Linked DNA regions of Mus musculus: region 1 is reported to be linked to region 2. The links are microRNA targets in miRTarBase. Many come from high-throughput screens and were not tested one by one. Region 2 holds a microRNA gene; the other region holds the end of a gene's coding sequence.

Region 1 (7,910 bases), not on the chromosome of region 2:
AAATGACTAACAGAGGGCCTGGAGATGGCCCAGCTGTCGAGAGCACCTGTTAAGAGGACCCAGGTTCGATTTCTAATACCTACATAGCTGCTCACACTGGAGTCTGTGACTCCAGTTCCAGGGGAGCTGACACCGCACTTTTGGCCTCCATGGGCACTGCACATGTGATATACTTAACATGTATTTATATATAAGCAAAGCACTCATATAAACATTGAAAAGACTATTAAAATGAAAAATTATGGAGCTTTACTGCATACCTACCACTCACTATCGTTGCTTCAAGAAGCGTACCTGTGTGGTTCTGTCACAAGCCGAACTGGCTGCTCCTTCCCATTTATTTGCAACTTCAAGGAAAACAACTGGCAGTGGTCAGATCTGGGCTTTCAGTCAAGCCTGGGATTTTCAGAAAACTTGTACCTGCTACTTGGAGCTCAATCCCTTCCTCAGATTTACACAATGACAAAAGTTTCACGTTAACTTAAAAGATGTGCTGACCAACACCCTCTAAGTCGGCGGTTCTCAACCTTCCTAATGCTATGACCCTCATGTTGTGGTGCCCCGCCCCCAACCATTAAGCTATTTTTGTTACTATTTCATAACTATAATTTTGCTGATACAGGTTGTAAATATCTAGTATGCAACCCCTGTGAAAGGGTCATTTGACCCCTAAGGGATAATGCCACAGGTTGAAAAAGGCTGCTATAAGTGATCAGTACAGGCTATTTCAAAGTTACCCAAGATCAATCCATTCTAAGTGAGCTAATACTCTCTAAGTGATCAGTGTAGACTATTTCAAAATCACCAAAGAAATATTCTTTCTGAATGCCAAGATATACCCATGGATTTTTAACATAACAGGCACTCACCGGAATTCCACACTCTAGTGAACACTTATGAGACATATACTTACGTGCTGAGGCATCATCAAAGAATGTTAGAATTGGCGAAAAGGCAAGACTTCATATAACCACTGTGTGTTGGGGGCTAAAATTTTCTTATACATGTCAAATTACATTTACACAGACTGAATGGAACAGGTGTAAGAATCTAGCGGAACTCTCTTAAGCCAGGCATTATATTTGCAAGTTATAAAGCATTAACACACTTCTAAAGGTTTTTGTAATGTTTGCTTTTTCATTAAAATACTTTTATTCAAGCTCATAGTTTATGTTTCAAAAATCATGTTATTTATATGAATGAACCCTACCTAAAACATTTCGGGGGCGGGGAGAGCAACAGTCATTTTTATGAATGTACAGGGATCCCCATATTGTACAACTGAACTGTAAAGAACCAAGTTGCAGTGCCATCTGCTGGCAAGGTCTGAAATTGGTGTTTCTGAAACCCAGCAGCCATTGTTTCCTAACTCTGTCTACCTCTCCAAGGCTGTTTCTGAAGCTTAGCCCAGGGCAGGGAAGCTTGGCAGTCCAGGTCAGAGTGTTTCTGGTGGGGGTGGGAATGGGACTTTAAGACAGTTCAACTTCTCCTATAGAGGAATGATAGCAATGATCACATCTTAGGAAGAGAAAATCAGGTTACTTAATTTAGTGCCTCTGGTATACCTGATGATCAAATGATGATCAAAGATTTACTTAAATGCTTTTTTTTCCTCGTTTTTCAAGTCAGGGTTTGTCTGTATAGTGGTAGCGCATGCCTTTAATCCCAGTACTTGGGAGGCAGAGGCAGGTGGATTTCTGAGTACTTAAGTGTTTTCTTGTCCTAGTTGTTTCTCTTCACAAATTATTACTGACCTCAATTACTTCAGCAGTTATCTGTTGGCATGTGTCACTCACTGCCTTACACTGGGATCAGTGATGTTTAAGCCTTGGCTTTAAATAAATACATGGGTGCTGTGATCCTAGCTAGCTGATTTACCCAGCTTTTGATATCTTCATGTACTGTGTAGAGAAAATATACTATGTAGAGAAAACAGTTTATAGAGGAGGCTGTTCCCCCTCATTATGACTGTTCTAACAGGTCCTTGCTTGATAGGGGGAAAAAATAGGAAATTGAACCCATTTGAAATCCCCCCACCCAACACCTTTCGTCTTCTTAAGTTACAGTGCATATGATAGTAATTTTCTATTTGAGTGGGAAACTTTACTTTGTCCCCTTTTATTTGCAGATTCTAAATGGAGGGACTCCAGACATTCCTTCCACTGGACTATTACCAGGGCAGGCTCAGGAGACCCCAGGGTATCCCTATTCTGATAGTTCTTCTATTCTTGGTAAGTGTGTTATCATTCACCTCCATGAGTGAGTAGTTTGCAAAATATCTTCTACAAAGAGGGTTTAAGAACTGATTACACAAGCTAGTTTTGAAGCAGTGGATAACAAAGTGGATGTGTGAACTGTTTAAATACTCCAGGGACCCATGTGCATCTAGAGCCGCCCAGGCATAGGTTTTCTCCCACATAGTGCAGTTTTTCCGAGGGAGAGCCCATACAGCTGCAGAGGCACTGAGTTCCCCAGTGACTCCAGCGCACCCAGCCCCTTCTCAATCTGCTTTTAGTTGCCATTGTTTCTAGAACCAACTCTTGACTAACTCGTTACCAAAATACTAAAATGGGTTCAACTCAAATTATTATTGCATTTTAAGGATTTTTGACCTTAATTTTTAGATGTTCTTTCTGAAAGGGTAGTAACAATGAAAAGTTATGGCAATGGAATCCCCCAAATAACCCCTTGCTCTTGTTAAATAAACGTCCTTATTGGTGTGTTGAGAAGTTGCTTTCCAAATATAAGTATGCTTTGTTATTCCTTACTGACAGTCCTTTCTTCCTTCCACAGGTGAGAACCCCCACATAGGCATCGATATGATAGATAACGACCAAGGATCAAGTAGTCCCAGTAACGATGAGGCAGCAATGGCTGTCATCATGAGCCTCTTGGAAGCAGATGCGGGGCTGGGTGGCCCCGTTGACTTTAGTGACTTGCCATGGCCGCTGTAGACACTACATTTGCTTTGGCAACAGCTGCAGTATCAAAGTGCATTAATGGTGAAGTTTTACAGTCTGTGAAGCTTACTGGATAGAGAGAGAACAGCTTTTATGTACTGACTCCATAAAAGCCACCTCAGAGCCATTGATACAAGTCAATCTACCATGTGTAACTTCAGACAAAGTGGAACTAAACCTGCTCCAGTGTTTCCTCATCATTGAGTTTGGGCTAGCTGTGGATAGCTTGCATTAATTGTATATTTTGGATTTTGTTTGTGTTGAATTTTTTAATCATTGTGCACAGAAGCATCATTGGTAGCTTTTATATGCAAAATGGTCATTTCAGATGTATGGTGTTTTTACACTACAAAGAAGTCCCCCATGTGGATATTTCTTATACTAATTGTATCATAAAGCTGTTTATTCTTCCTTGTAAGAATCCTTTACTATAAATATGGGTTAAAGTATAATGTATTAGACAGTTAAATATTTTTAATAAATGTTTCCCTTGTTCTATAAGTACTGTTCCCAATTGATAATTAGGAAGAAAATCTTCATATGCTACAGGGCTGGTTCATCCACTTCACCAGCGGTCTAAACACATTCCTGCTGTTATGTTTACAATGTCCTTTTGCTCTTATAATGACTTCTTCCATGCTACCAGCTTAGACATATTATAAAAATAGCTCACTTCCAAACTGTAGCCACCTCAACTTATATGAAAACAAAGATATCAACTCCAATTTCCAGTGCTTAGATTTCAAGATTACAAGCTGGCTTCTCTAGACCTGCAGTTACATGGTGTGCTCAAGTCTACCAGGGGTAGATGTAAGCGACGGCATCTGCTCTCTTTCTATGGTCCCATCGACAAACTGAGATGTGATCCCACCAAACTAAAGTTCACTCTGGAAACCAATGGGTTGGTTTACTGGGCTTCCATACAGACACAGGCGAGAGGTTCCCTACAGGTATGCTCCTACTCAAAGGCCACACTAGAAAGCCTTTACTGGGGCTGGAGAGATGGCTCAGCAGTTAAGAGCACTGACTGCTCTTCTGAAGGTCCTGAATTCAAATCCCAGCAACCACATGGAGGCTCACAACCATCCGTAATGAGATCTGGTGCCCTCTTCTGGTGTGTCTGAAGACAGCTACAGTGTACTTACATTTAATAATAAATTAAAAAAAAAAAAAAAAAAGAAAGCCTTTACCCAGCTGAGAAAACAGGTTTCCCATAGGCATCCAGATGGAGCCTTAACCTTTTCCTCATCTTCCCCAGCCTTATATATTCTTATTCCCTCCAAGGCCATGCCCAGTTAAAGGCAGAGTTGTATAGAACTGGAGGCGGAACAGCTGGACACGCAGGTGAGGAAGGTCTTGTGATTGTCTCCACATCTCCTTGGGGGGATATAAACAGTCAAAAAGCCTATCGAGTGTTCTTTTGCAAACAGGCACAGCTGAGCACTCCAAGATGGCAATTCTGTGGCTCAGAGGGCAGTCCTGGACTATTTGTATGGCTACAAAGAGTTAAGTGATCTAAGACCCAAAGCACTTAAAATATGAATCTTTGTTGTAAACCATGAAATATTTAGAGTATTTGATGGAAAGAATATTGAATTAATTAGAAACTAGTTCTGAAAGTTAGGGTTCCTAATACAGGCGTCATTCCATTTTCATATCCTGAAAATCTTGATCAACTGCTTTGGATTTATAGCATTTTTCCTGAACTTATAGGAAATCTAAGTGCCTCTTGCAAATATACCAAAGCGCTTTTAAAACTGTCATTTGAGCCGGGCGTGGTGGCGCACGCCTTTAATCCCAGCACTCGGGAGGCAGAGGCAGGCGTATTTCTGAGTTCGAGGCCAGCCTGGTCTACAAAGTGAGCTCCAGGACAGCCAGGGCTATACAGAGAAACCCTGTCTCGAAAAACCAAAAAAAAAAAAAAAAAAAAAAAAAAAAACTGTCATTTGATTTCTAGTTATACATAACATATATGACACAGAATCTAGCCAAGGTGTTCATAAAGTTGGTCAGAAACATTAAAACAATGAAATTTTATTTTGATGAAAAACTCGAGTTTACAATCATTTAGTAAATGAAGAGCAAACAGTTTGTTTTTCTATCCCATAACTCTTAAGAAAAAAGCATTAGTAAATAAATATATGAACAGATTAAGGATAAGGCAGACTGGACAGTAAACCACCTCTTGACGTTCACCCTCCCTGCATGTGACTCACTCTAATAGGGCTGCAGGGCTCTGGAGATGAGTGAACCAACACTATAAGCATCAAATTTTATCCTAATTGTTTAAATAAACCCAAGATAAATATGTTTTTGCTTGATGTGGGCCAACTATACATACTGTACTGAGGAATACTCTGATAGAAGCACTTATGTTATACTGTGCATCACAGCTCTAAAATGGCTTCAACAGCTCCATTTAACCACCATCTATAAAGTGCAACTTTGTAATATTCATCTTACCTGAGGCAAGATAAATATCAATCTACACTTAAAGTACCCCAGCTGCCAAATTCCCACCACTTCTGAGAAAACCTAGATATGTGAAAAAGGACTGTCCCCATACAAAGAACCAATTTCACAAACCTACTGGTAAACAAATACATTTATAGAACTCGAACGAGGATGCTAAAGTTGTACTCATTAAAAAACCATTCAGCTACCTTTGGTCTTTAAAAAAGCCTACACTGCAGTATCCTAAACATGTGCATCTCACAATGAAGAAAAGTGGCCTCGCAGTGCAGAAGGAGGAGTACGACGTCACTGTGAAGAGTAGCATGCTATGGTTTCAGGAACATCAGCATCACAGCATTGGATTCTGTGCATCAGGATCGAGGTCATTGTTGCCCGAGGCAGGGTGGCTGGGAAGGATATCCAGCTCGTCCACCTGTGGAGTAGGGTGCATGACTACTAGCTGGTCCTGGGGAATGTCTGCAGCAGCTGCTGCCAGATTGGTAATGGATTTACTCTTTACACACTGAAAGTCTACATGCCGACTCTTTCCTTCCTCCTTCTCCCAGGACATTCGAATGAAGGGTCTTTGGACATAATTGTAAATGACTTCTGGACGGCCCCCTGGCCTTTTCTTTACTTTTTCTTTGTAGGTAGGATAGCCTGGAGGAAAGAAAGGAATTTTAAAAGGGGACACTTACAACTTCTCATTCAAGTTAGCTGTTGAGAGCTTTTAAGTTACTTAGTACTCAACCCCCACAAAACACTTTTAAGTGGGACCATGGAGGGTGGCTCTCCATTCAGTGGTGTGTAATCTGCAGTGGGTCTAGGCTTTATCCGAGTACCAGCAGCACTCATTCTCCTCACGGGATGACTGAGCAGAAAGGCCCGAAATTTCTGGCTCCATTAGTCTTCTAGCTTCCTTAAGCTCCAGCCTTATCTTTATATTGCTTTAGAATTTTTGTTAAATAATAAAGAATAATCAGCTCTCTAACAGGTTCTTAAATTCTGCAGCTAGCTTAGCAAGGGCAATATTTTAATATTACACCATTTTATTATGACTTTCGACAGTGAATTAAATTTCTATCTACAAAGAGCTTTACTTAATTATAATTTTTTTGAATCATAGTCACTAAAAGTAACAACTAGTAAAAACAACCCAAAGTTTCAGAAAGCTTTCAATTATTTATTAGTAAAGAGACTTCTCCAAACACATAGAGTCCTAGGAAAATACTATACACAAGTCTTCCCCTCCTTTCTATCAGCAAGAACTAAACTAGAGATCAGTAAACTTTTCTGTCACAGGCTACAGGACATCATCTTGTAAATGACACAGTTTCTACTGAGCCTACCTAACTTTACCACTGTGAAGTGAAATCAGCCACAGAGAACAAAGAAATGACTCTAATAAAGCTATTAAAAAAAAAAGGCAACAAGTTGGAATTTGTATCATAAAAAGGTTATCAGAAAGAGAACCGAAAAGATGATCTGTACTGTCTAAGGGCATGTGTAAGTCTATGTGTGAGGAAGCCTGGAGGGGTTTTGGTCAACAAAGCCACAGGCCTTCTTTCTCTTACACTTCCAGTCCCCAACCATTAGAAGGTGCAGCCCTGAAGGTCTGAAGGGTTCTTTGGATTCCCTTGTTCTCTTTCCTTCCTAGGCTTTTTAGAAGATTCAGCTTCCTATGTGACTGTATTCCCATCATCCAAACAGAATCACTTCTATACAAACGGAATCATAATGCGTGCTTGCTTTAAAACGGCTAATAATTTTTTTATGCTTCAAGGAGAAGGATGTGTATGCCTTAGTTCTATCAGGCTGTTTTAAAACCTGGTTCCAAATGACTCAATCTCAACTACCTTTATGCTATATATTTCTTCTCATACTATAAAGTCCCAGATGCCAGAAAAGCAAGAGGTTCCCAGGACCCAACAGGGATGATGACATTAGCTGAAATACCCAACAAAGGGGAAGGAGAACCTGTAGAGAGACCATATCCCGAGGTTAGGCACAGCCCCAGTTGAGGGATGGGGCCATCCACTCATCTCCAAAATTTTAACCCAGAATTGCTCCAGAGACTGCCCTACCTGGGGATCCATCCCATATGCAGACACCAAACTCAGACACTATTGCTGATGTCAGGAAGTGCTTGCTGACAGGAGCCTGATCAACACAGATGAGATGCTCACCATCGGACTGAGCACAGGGACCTCAATGGAGGAGTTAGTGGAAATGAAGGAGATAGAAGGGTTTGCAACCCAATAGGAAGAACAGAACCCCCAGGGCTCCCAGGGACTAAACCACCAAACAAAGAGTACACATGGAGGGACCCATGGCTTCAGCTGGCATCAATGGGAGGGGAGGCCCTTGGTCCTGTGAAGGTTTGATGTCTCAGTGAAGGAGAATATTAGGGCAGTCAGGCAGGAATGGGTGGGGGGGGGCGGTCGTACCTTCATAGAAGTAGGGGGAAGGGGATGGGGGTTTGCAGAGGAGAAACTG
Region 2 (7,910 bases):
AGACATCTTGGGTCTGTAGAGTCCCCTGCCCTCCACTAAAGTCCTGCTTCCTTCATCCTCTCCAGTAGCTAGCTCACTCACACCCACCCACAACAAAATCTTCCTTGGCTCAGCCCAGCACCAAGCCCACCTCCACACCCCCCAGCATACCAAGATTCCCCCCAGACAGACTCGTGGTGGAAGAGACCTAACATAATCAGAAAGAGACACATGTACCCACACTGAGGGCCAGAGCCAGAGAGAACAGAGCGAGGCCACTTAGATTCCCGTCCAAGGAAGGAAGGACAGATAATCACACAGGCAGACTCACAGACAGAGAGAGACAGAGACAGAGACAAGAAATGTGGGCAGTGGGACTACAGATTATGGCCAGTCCATCTTGCAGCCCTCTCCATCCTCTCTTACCTTATAAGCCTGTGCCTCCTCCTCCTCCAGCCCGGAACAGCTGTACCCAGGGCTCTCTGCTTGCTGCCCCAGCTTAGGCAGCCCGGTCTCTGTTGCTTCAGGATCAGTATTTCCGACAGGTCCAGGGCTATGAGCTCCCTCAGGCTTGGAACTCTCTTCAAACCTCAATCCTTTAACCTGCAGAGCTGTCGGAGTACCAGCAATGCTTGGAGATGCATCTCCAGGTTTGCACCCCTGGCCCTGAGTCCAGTGCTGCCAGGCAGGCAGTGCCCATGGCTCCATGGCTCCAAGGTCTCCAAGCCGTGGGAGGGTTGTCAGTTGCTCCATGGTTTCGGCAAGGGGCCCCCGAACCTGGACCTGGGGACATCACCAGCGGGAAGACTGACAAGGGTCATGCCAGACTAGACCATTCTCCCTGTAAGTGTTTGGCTTCACCGAGTCCATCAGAGGTTGGCTGAGCTCTTCCCACCCACGAAGGAGGGTTCAGAAGGTATCGGGGTTGCCAGACTGGAGCTGGGGTTTGCTCATGGTTCTCTCTCTCTCTCTTGTGTGTGTGTGTGTGTGTGTACGGGGTGTGTGTGGGGGGGTGAGAGACCACCACCAGGAGTGCCTGGCTGAAGGTATATATGTACGTGTGCCTCCAGGTCTGTCCCTGCAGGTCAGTGATGTTTTATTATGTGATTGGAGGATGAATACTCCGACTTGTGTATGTTGAGAAGGGTGGTGCTATGTGTCACTGTCTGTGCCTATTTAAGAGTTACCAGTTGTTTCTGCGTGGGGGTAGGGGCTGTCTGTATTGCAGGGCTGTGGCAGTGTGTGATGCTGTCGCCGGTCCTGTCTCAGTGTTGTAAAGCCCGGTGTATCTGTAGTGGCGTGTGTCTTTCAGTGTCTGTGAGTCTGGCCACCCATCACGACCACTCTGCCTGGAAAGGGTCCGCAGGAGTTCCTGGGAATGATCCCCAGTGATCCACTGTGGTCCTTTATCTCCAGCTTTTCTCTCCGCTGGCTGCCGCCGATCAGTTGCTTGCTGGGTGGCTGGGCGGTCCTAAGGAGGCCTGGGTCGATGGGCGGCTTGCCTCATAGTCTCTGCCTCAGCTAGTCTCAGCTCGAGGGACTGCAAGGGTCCCTCGCGGTCCCGGAGCTCCCCAAATGAGATGGTGGGCACGAAGGAGGGCAGAGCCTCAGAATGGGGAGTGGGGAGCAGGGGAGCATCATCATCCCTCCCTTCCCCCTCCTCCTCCCCTCCTGCCCACCAATAGGAAGTCAGCTGCTGGTTTCCATGACGATGGAGCTGGACTGGTGGGCTGGACCGGCAGGCAAGCTGGCAGGGTCGGGACAGTGGAAAGAGCAGGTTCCTTACTGGATGGTAGGTTAGAAAGCTACCCCCTCCGGACCCCCCAACATGGCCTCTTCATCCCCTTGACCCCACAGACCCTCACTTCCAGGGTGCAGAGGAAAGGGAGTAGAGACAGTCCTCTCCTTTCAGGCAAGACTGATGGGGATAGAACAATGTGACAGAGACCTAGCTGTAGAAAAGGACAGAGCTGAAATGGTGGGATTTGGAATAAAACAAAGAAATAAAAGTCTGAAAATAGAAAGACGAGCAAAAGGACAGAGTGTTGAAATAGGCTGAAAAACGACTTCAGCTTCCCCATGGCAGATCACATTTGGGGGACAGCCCAGCCTTCACAGGCTAGCAGGAGAGATCATAAGACAGGACCTTTTGGGCTGATTTTCCCTCAACCATCAGGAAGTTCATCTTCTGTCTAGCATTAGGCTTTATTTATTTACTTGCTATGAAAAAAAAATGGCTTTTGGGAACAAGGACATAGGAATTGCCCCAACCTAGGTGTCTGCCTGTATGTGGGGCACCTAGATCTCGAGAGATAAGAATGTTGCTCCTAGACGCAAGACAAGCCAAGGTCGAGGGCCCTCATGTGGCACCCCTATGGAATAGCAGCTAAAGCATAGAGAACACCCCCCACCCAGACAGTAGGCTCCACCCAGGCCAGAGCCAATGGAACTGGGTAGGGGTTGGAGTTGCATAAGAGAGAAGGTAACATTCATTTCTCTAAAGCAGTCTAAACATCAGTACACATGCTATGTCATGTAACTTTCAGTCAGCATGCATATGCATGTCATATTACATGTATGTATAGAAGAGTATGCATAGTATGTCTGTGTATACATGGAGATCACTGCATGTATGTGTGCTATTTTGTCTATGAATCTCATTGGATATATATCTGTGCATGGTTTTGTGTCATTGTATGTCTATTTGCTACAATGTCTATGTGCATGCAATTACGTATGAGTTTATCATTGCATTTTGCTATAAATCACAGATATCATGCCATTATACAGCACTAACACATTATGACATACATTGTCATATAATAATGTACAATGGCATACAATGATCTATGTACATGATAAACTTGCCTGGCATGATGTGCACGCAGTCTCTGTATATATATTCTCACCCCTCCATGCCTAAGGGGACTGTCTATAAGATCATCTCAGGATACCCCACTAAGTTCTCAAATGCTTAAGTCCTTTTATGTAAGGTGATGAAATATCCGCCCATGGCTTATACACATCCTTCTGTATACCCAAGGTCTCTTGCATGCTAGGCAAGCACTCTACCACTAAACCATATCCTCAGCCCAGCCCCACCCCACCCCCATGCCTTAAATCATCTCTAGATTGTTTATACCTATTTTATAATACGATGTGAATGTTAAAATAATTGTACTGTACTATTGAGGAAATCACAAGAATAACAAGCAAAGTCTATACATTATAAAGAGACAGCTTCCTCTCTGGTAAGAGTCTTAGCTCAAGCTGGTCCTTCCTCTTCCAGTTGCTGGGGTTGTAATTACATCTACAATTGGCTTGCAATCAAAAACACATTTTGTTTTTCAATCCTAGTCAATAGGATGGCTCTGTGGGTAGGACATTTGCCACCAAGCCTGACCACTGGAGTTTGATCCCCAGTAACCACGTGGCCAAAGTGGAGAACTCCTCCACGCAAGGTGTTCTCTGGCCCTAAATGCACACCACAGTACATTGGTACACTCACCAGCATTCACACACACACACAAATTAAATGTTTTTCAATTCATCAATGTGGCAATCCAGAGAGATCTTGATGATCTCGCGGTTAGTGTCTTATGTACATGAAGCCACCACATGTGAATGTCACTAATGGGTATATTCTTTGGCATTATATGTGTAAGTACTAATGAACATGTGTTTGGCCTAGGTGACTGTATACCCATATGATACACCAGCCACGTCTCATTGTCTATATGTCACAGTTCATGCATGTGGCTGGCATCGGTGTATAGGCCCTGATGAAATGCACATGATGGTGAAAGTGTGTTTTATTAACACCAATGACCTGTGTAGACATGTACAAGGCAGGTGGGCACACACTGTGCTAGCGTGGTTTTGCCCAACTCTTACACTAATAAGAATCCTCTTGGAGCCAGGCAGTGATGGCACACACCTTTAATCCCAGCACTTGGGAGGCAGAGGCAGGCAGATTTCTGAGTTTGAGCCAGTCTGGTCCGGAGTGAGTTCCAGGACAGCCAGGGCTACACAGAGGAACCCTGTCTCAAAAAATTAAAGGAGAGAGAGAGAGAGAGAGAGAGAGAGAGAGAGAGAGAGAGAGAGAGAGAGAGAGAGAGAGAGAGAGAGAGAAGAAAGAAAGGAGGAAGGAAAGGAAAGAAAGATCCTCTTGGGCTGGTGAGATGGCTCAGTGGTCAAGAACACTAACTGCTCTTCCAAAGGTCCTGAGTTCAAATCCCAGCAACCACATGGTGGCTCACAACCATCTGTAATGAGATCTGATGGCCTCTTCTTGTGAGTCTGAACACAGTTACAGTGTACTTAGATATAATAAAATCTCTTTTAAAAAAAAGTTCCTCTAGACCAATGGTTCTCAAGCTATGGGCTGCAATCCCTTGGGAGGCAGACAACCCTTTTACAGGGCCACTCAAGACCATCAGAAAACACAGATATTTACATTACAATTCATTACAGTTGCACAATTATACATATGAAGTAGCAACGGAAATAATTTTATGGTTGGGGGGTCACGACAACCATGAGGAATTGTGTTAAAGGGTCGCAGAGTCAGGAAGGTTGAGAACCACGGCTCTATAGACTTTCTTAGATCAAAACGAGAGGCAAACAGTCTTCATTTTGGAGGTATAGAGAGTAAAAGGAAGCTAGCATAGAAATTAGAGCCAAAGGTAGAGGTCATCTCATACCCTTTCTTCACGTTGCTACAAAGTCTACTTCCGGTGGCCCAAGCCTTCCCACCCCCAGGCTGTGTCTTAGTCAGGCCAAGGTCTTCTGCTCATGTCAGCGAAGCCTGTCTTTCTGCGTCAGTTCTGTTCCCGGGCATCCGGGGAACTCACACAACCCCAATAACAGAGTCAGACAAAAGCGAAACCAGTCCATTCTTTATTAGTGTTGAGGGCCCCGTGACCCTTACCCATCCATCCGGCTCCCTTCTCGAACCCCCAGTCGGCCTGCGATGCAGGACCAAGGCCCCACACATCCGGCCCCACCCCATATCCTCACGGACGTGCATTCGAGAGAGCGGCTGTGGTGTCTCCCCAAGTATCAGGGGTCAGGAAGCACCGTGCTTTGGGGGAGCCATGAAGGTCTTTCGGGGAGCCTGGCCAAATGAGGGCGTGTGAGAGATGCTCACCTGTTTCCTTGATGTTGGAGTGGAGGACGGTGGCAGGGGGCCGCGGCGTGGCGTGGTCTCCGAAGCCCACAGTGCACTCATCCATAAAGTAGGAAACACTACACCCTCCAGTGCTGTTAGTAGTGCTTTCTACTTTATGGGTGACTGCACTGTCTGTCTGTCCACGGGGATTCTTCAGGCCACCTGCTTTTCTTGCCGACTCCTGCTTTAATAAAGGCCCCTGCCCCCTCCCCTCCGTGTAACTTCCCAGGGACCGCTCCACCCTGCCTGTGGCCCCCTAGAGGGCCCGCCCTGGGCCTTGTGGGTGGTGACTCAACATGGCGCCAGATGAGCCTCTTCTTCCCCCGCCCAACTTCCTCTTTGTAACCTTCTTCCCTCCACTCCCCACCCCCTCCGGGTTTCCACCCTATTCTCTCCCTTCTCGGGGACACTCAGGTAAAGACCACAGCCACTCCAGAAGGCTCATCCCCATCTTTAGAACTGCAACATCCTGGGTGGTGCTTCCCAGCCGTATGACCCACAGTCTTGAATCCAACGGAGGCAGCCATGGCCTCCTCCCATAAAGGCCTCGGTCCCCAGCCTTCCCATTAGACAAAGGCCTCCACTCCCACACGCCTCTGTCTCTAGTCTCCCCATTGGAACAAGGCCCCTGACTCCCTCATTCCTGCTCCTCAAGCTGGAATCCAAGTGTGTTGGCAGAAATGGCGGCCATGTTGCGTGGAAAAAATGCCTGGGCACCACTTGCCGATACCAGTCTCACTGTTTCAGCCCACTCTCCCACTCTCGCAACTCCTCCCTACTCTCTGGCCCTCCTCCCTAAGAGCTAGAGACTGTTATTTTCGAGAGGGGGGCTCAGAAGCCAATTTTTCCTTTTTTTTTTTTTTTTTTTTTTTTTTGGTTTTTCGAGACAGGGTTTCTCTGTATAGCCCAAGCTGTCCTAGAACTCACTTTGTAGACCAAGCTGGCCTCGAACTCAGAAATCCATCTGTCTCTGCCTCCCGAGTGCAGGGATTAAAGGTGTTCGCCACCACCGCCCGGCTAATTTTTCCTTTTTTAATTCTGTAGATTTAAAAGATGGGGTTGGGGATTTAGCTCAATGGTAAGCGCAAAGCCCTGGGTTCGGTTCCCAGCTTCCCCCAAAAAACAAACAAACAAACAAAAAACAAAAAACCCAAGAAGATTTAAAAGATTGTAAAAGCTGTCCCCAGTGAAGGCTAGTGGATCCAAGAGTCATTGCTCCTAAGCCTAAAACTTTGTTAGGGAGCTCTGGCACCCAGCCCCTCCTGCTGTCCGGAACCTCCACTTAGAACCTGCACCCCAAGCTCTTCTCTGAGCCTTGGGCCCAGAATTAAAGAGCCCTGGTTGAGGCCAGAGTGAAGATTTAGGTCTTACCTGATGCTGCAGAGCTGAGAAGAGCTGGATCCAAAGTGGGGTTCCCTTCAGGGTGGGTAGGGCTTATAACCCCGAGGCCACGTGGGTCGGATCTCAGGGCGCCCAACGGTCTTGGAGCCCGCCTCCACAACGCATCAGAGATTAGCCACCCCTCCCCTCCCTGGGGAGTGCAGACTGACAGGAAACCAGCGACAAGGCTGGGTATTGGCGGGAGGGGGGCGGGGTGGGGGGGACTGAAGAGGCCATCTCACATGCCCTGGGCAGGTGGCTTCCTGGCTCCCAGGCTTGCCCTTCCCCAATGGCTCCAGCCACAGGAGATGATTCAAGAGTTGACACTGACTCGTTGGAAGTGACCCCAGGAGACAACAGTTCCCTGCTAGGGCCTTCAGTGAGCACCCAGAAAAAAAAAAAAATCCTGAATCCCAACACTAAAAAAGTACGTTTCCCTGAGCCCCACCCCCACCGATGGGCCTTTCCTCAGGTCACTGCCACCAAGCAAAGCAGGGTTGCTCTGTATGTTCTTCTGAGAGGCTGTGGAAGGTGCAGAGGCATGAAGGGGAGTTGGAACCCATACACCAACATCGTTCTTAGGTTCAGTGTCCTCAACATCTCTGAAAGCCACCACTTTCCCCAGGGGAGCCTCGCTGATCAGGTGACACACACTATAGGGGTGTGGGTCACAACTGGATTGGGTCTTCATGCTGTTTTGGGGGCCCACAAGGATGCAAGAACAAAGAACGTCAGGATAATGGCCCTGGGGTAGAGCATAGGTACCTAGGAGTCTTTGGGGGAGGGGAGGAAAAAGGCTCTGACAGGAGGTTCTCTTGGCCACCGGATGTGGGCAGGGTCCCGCCCACCTGCATGTCAACCCCCACTTTCCCCATGGGGAAGACAGGAAACTGCTCAGCCTAGGCCTGTAGTTGGGGGATGGGAGCAAGGTGGGAGTCTGAGCAGGAGTTTAGGGGGGCTGAGTATGAGCCCCCACATATTAACCCCGGCTTCCCCAAGGCTCTCAGTGAGCTAGGCTCTGGGGTCAAGAATGGTCTTGAGGGGCAGTTAGAGGAGGCAGGAGGAGTAGGAAGAACCATTAATATCTCCTTTGGGAAAGCCATGAGTGTCTGGCCACAGATCCACACTGGCTTCAGGGACTACAGATTCAAGGCCAGAAGGGAACTAGAGGAGGGTCAGACAGAGAAAAGAAGACTGCGCCACGTGCTTTCCTTCCTTCTGAGAGGTGCTGCCAACCTGGAAAAGAGTGTGTCTGTTCCAGTACCCTCAAGTGAGAGTAGGAAAGGAAGAGCCTGACCCTTCACCCCTAAGGTCTAGAGGAACAGTGGTGAACAGTCTTGCAAGGCTAGCTGGCCAAAAATAGGTCAGTGTTCCTTTAAGA

What was found. The annotated mature microRNA mmu-miR-142a-3p reads UGUAGUGUUUCCUACUUUAUGGA and lies in region 2 at 5,209-5,231, opposite strand. An mRNA with a match to its seed (bases 2 to 7 or 8) in the 3' UTR can be bound and repressed. Matches are read on the target gene's strand: a 7mer-m8 pairs with bases 2 to 8, a 7mer-A1 pairs with bases 2 to 7 and ends in A, and an 8mer does both.
Region 1: the mRNA of Arntl is a reported target of mmu-miR-142a-3p. Seed matches in the 3' UTR shown: 8mer at 2,955-2,962 and 8mer at 3,304-3,311.

Annotation. Positions count from the first base shown.
Region 1 is chr7:113,310,666-113,318,575 of GRCm38, forward strand. Arntl (aryl hydrocarbon receptor nuclear translocator-like) reads left to right here. Exons shown (of 20, transcript NM_007489.4): 19 at 2,129-2,231; 20 at 2,794-3,461. The coding sequence ends at 2,954. Btbd10 (BTB (POZ) domain containing 10) reads right to left here. Exons shown (of 11, transcript NM_133700.2): 11 at 4,979-6,074. The coding sequence ends at 5,764. Among named protein-coding and RNA genes, the nearest start is that of Gm33721, 53 kb to the left of the region's middle.
Region 2 is chr11:87,754,224-87,762,133 of GRCm38, reverse strand. It overlaps Mir142 (microRNA 142), which reads right to left and starts at 5,270; the gene lies at 5,207-5,270. Mir142b (microRNA 142b) reads left to right here and starts at 5,179; the gene lies at 5,179-5,293. It overlaps Tspoap1 (TSPO associated protein 1), which reads right to left and starts at 1,593. Exons shown (of 32, transcript NM_172449.2): 1 at 406-1,593. The coding sequence starts at 732.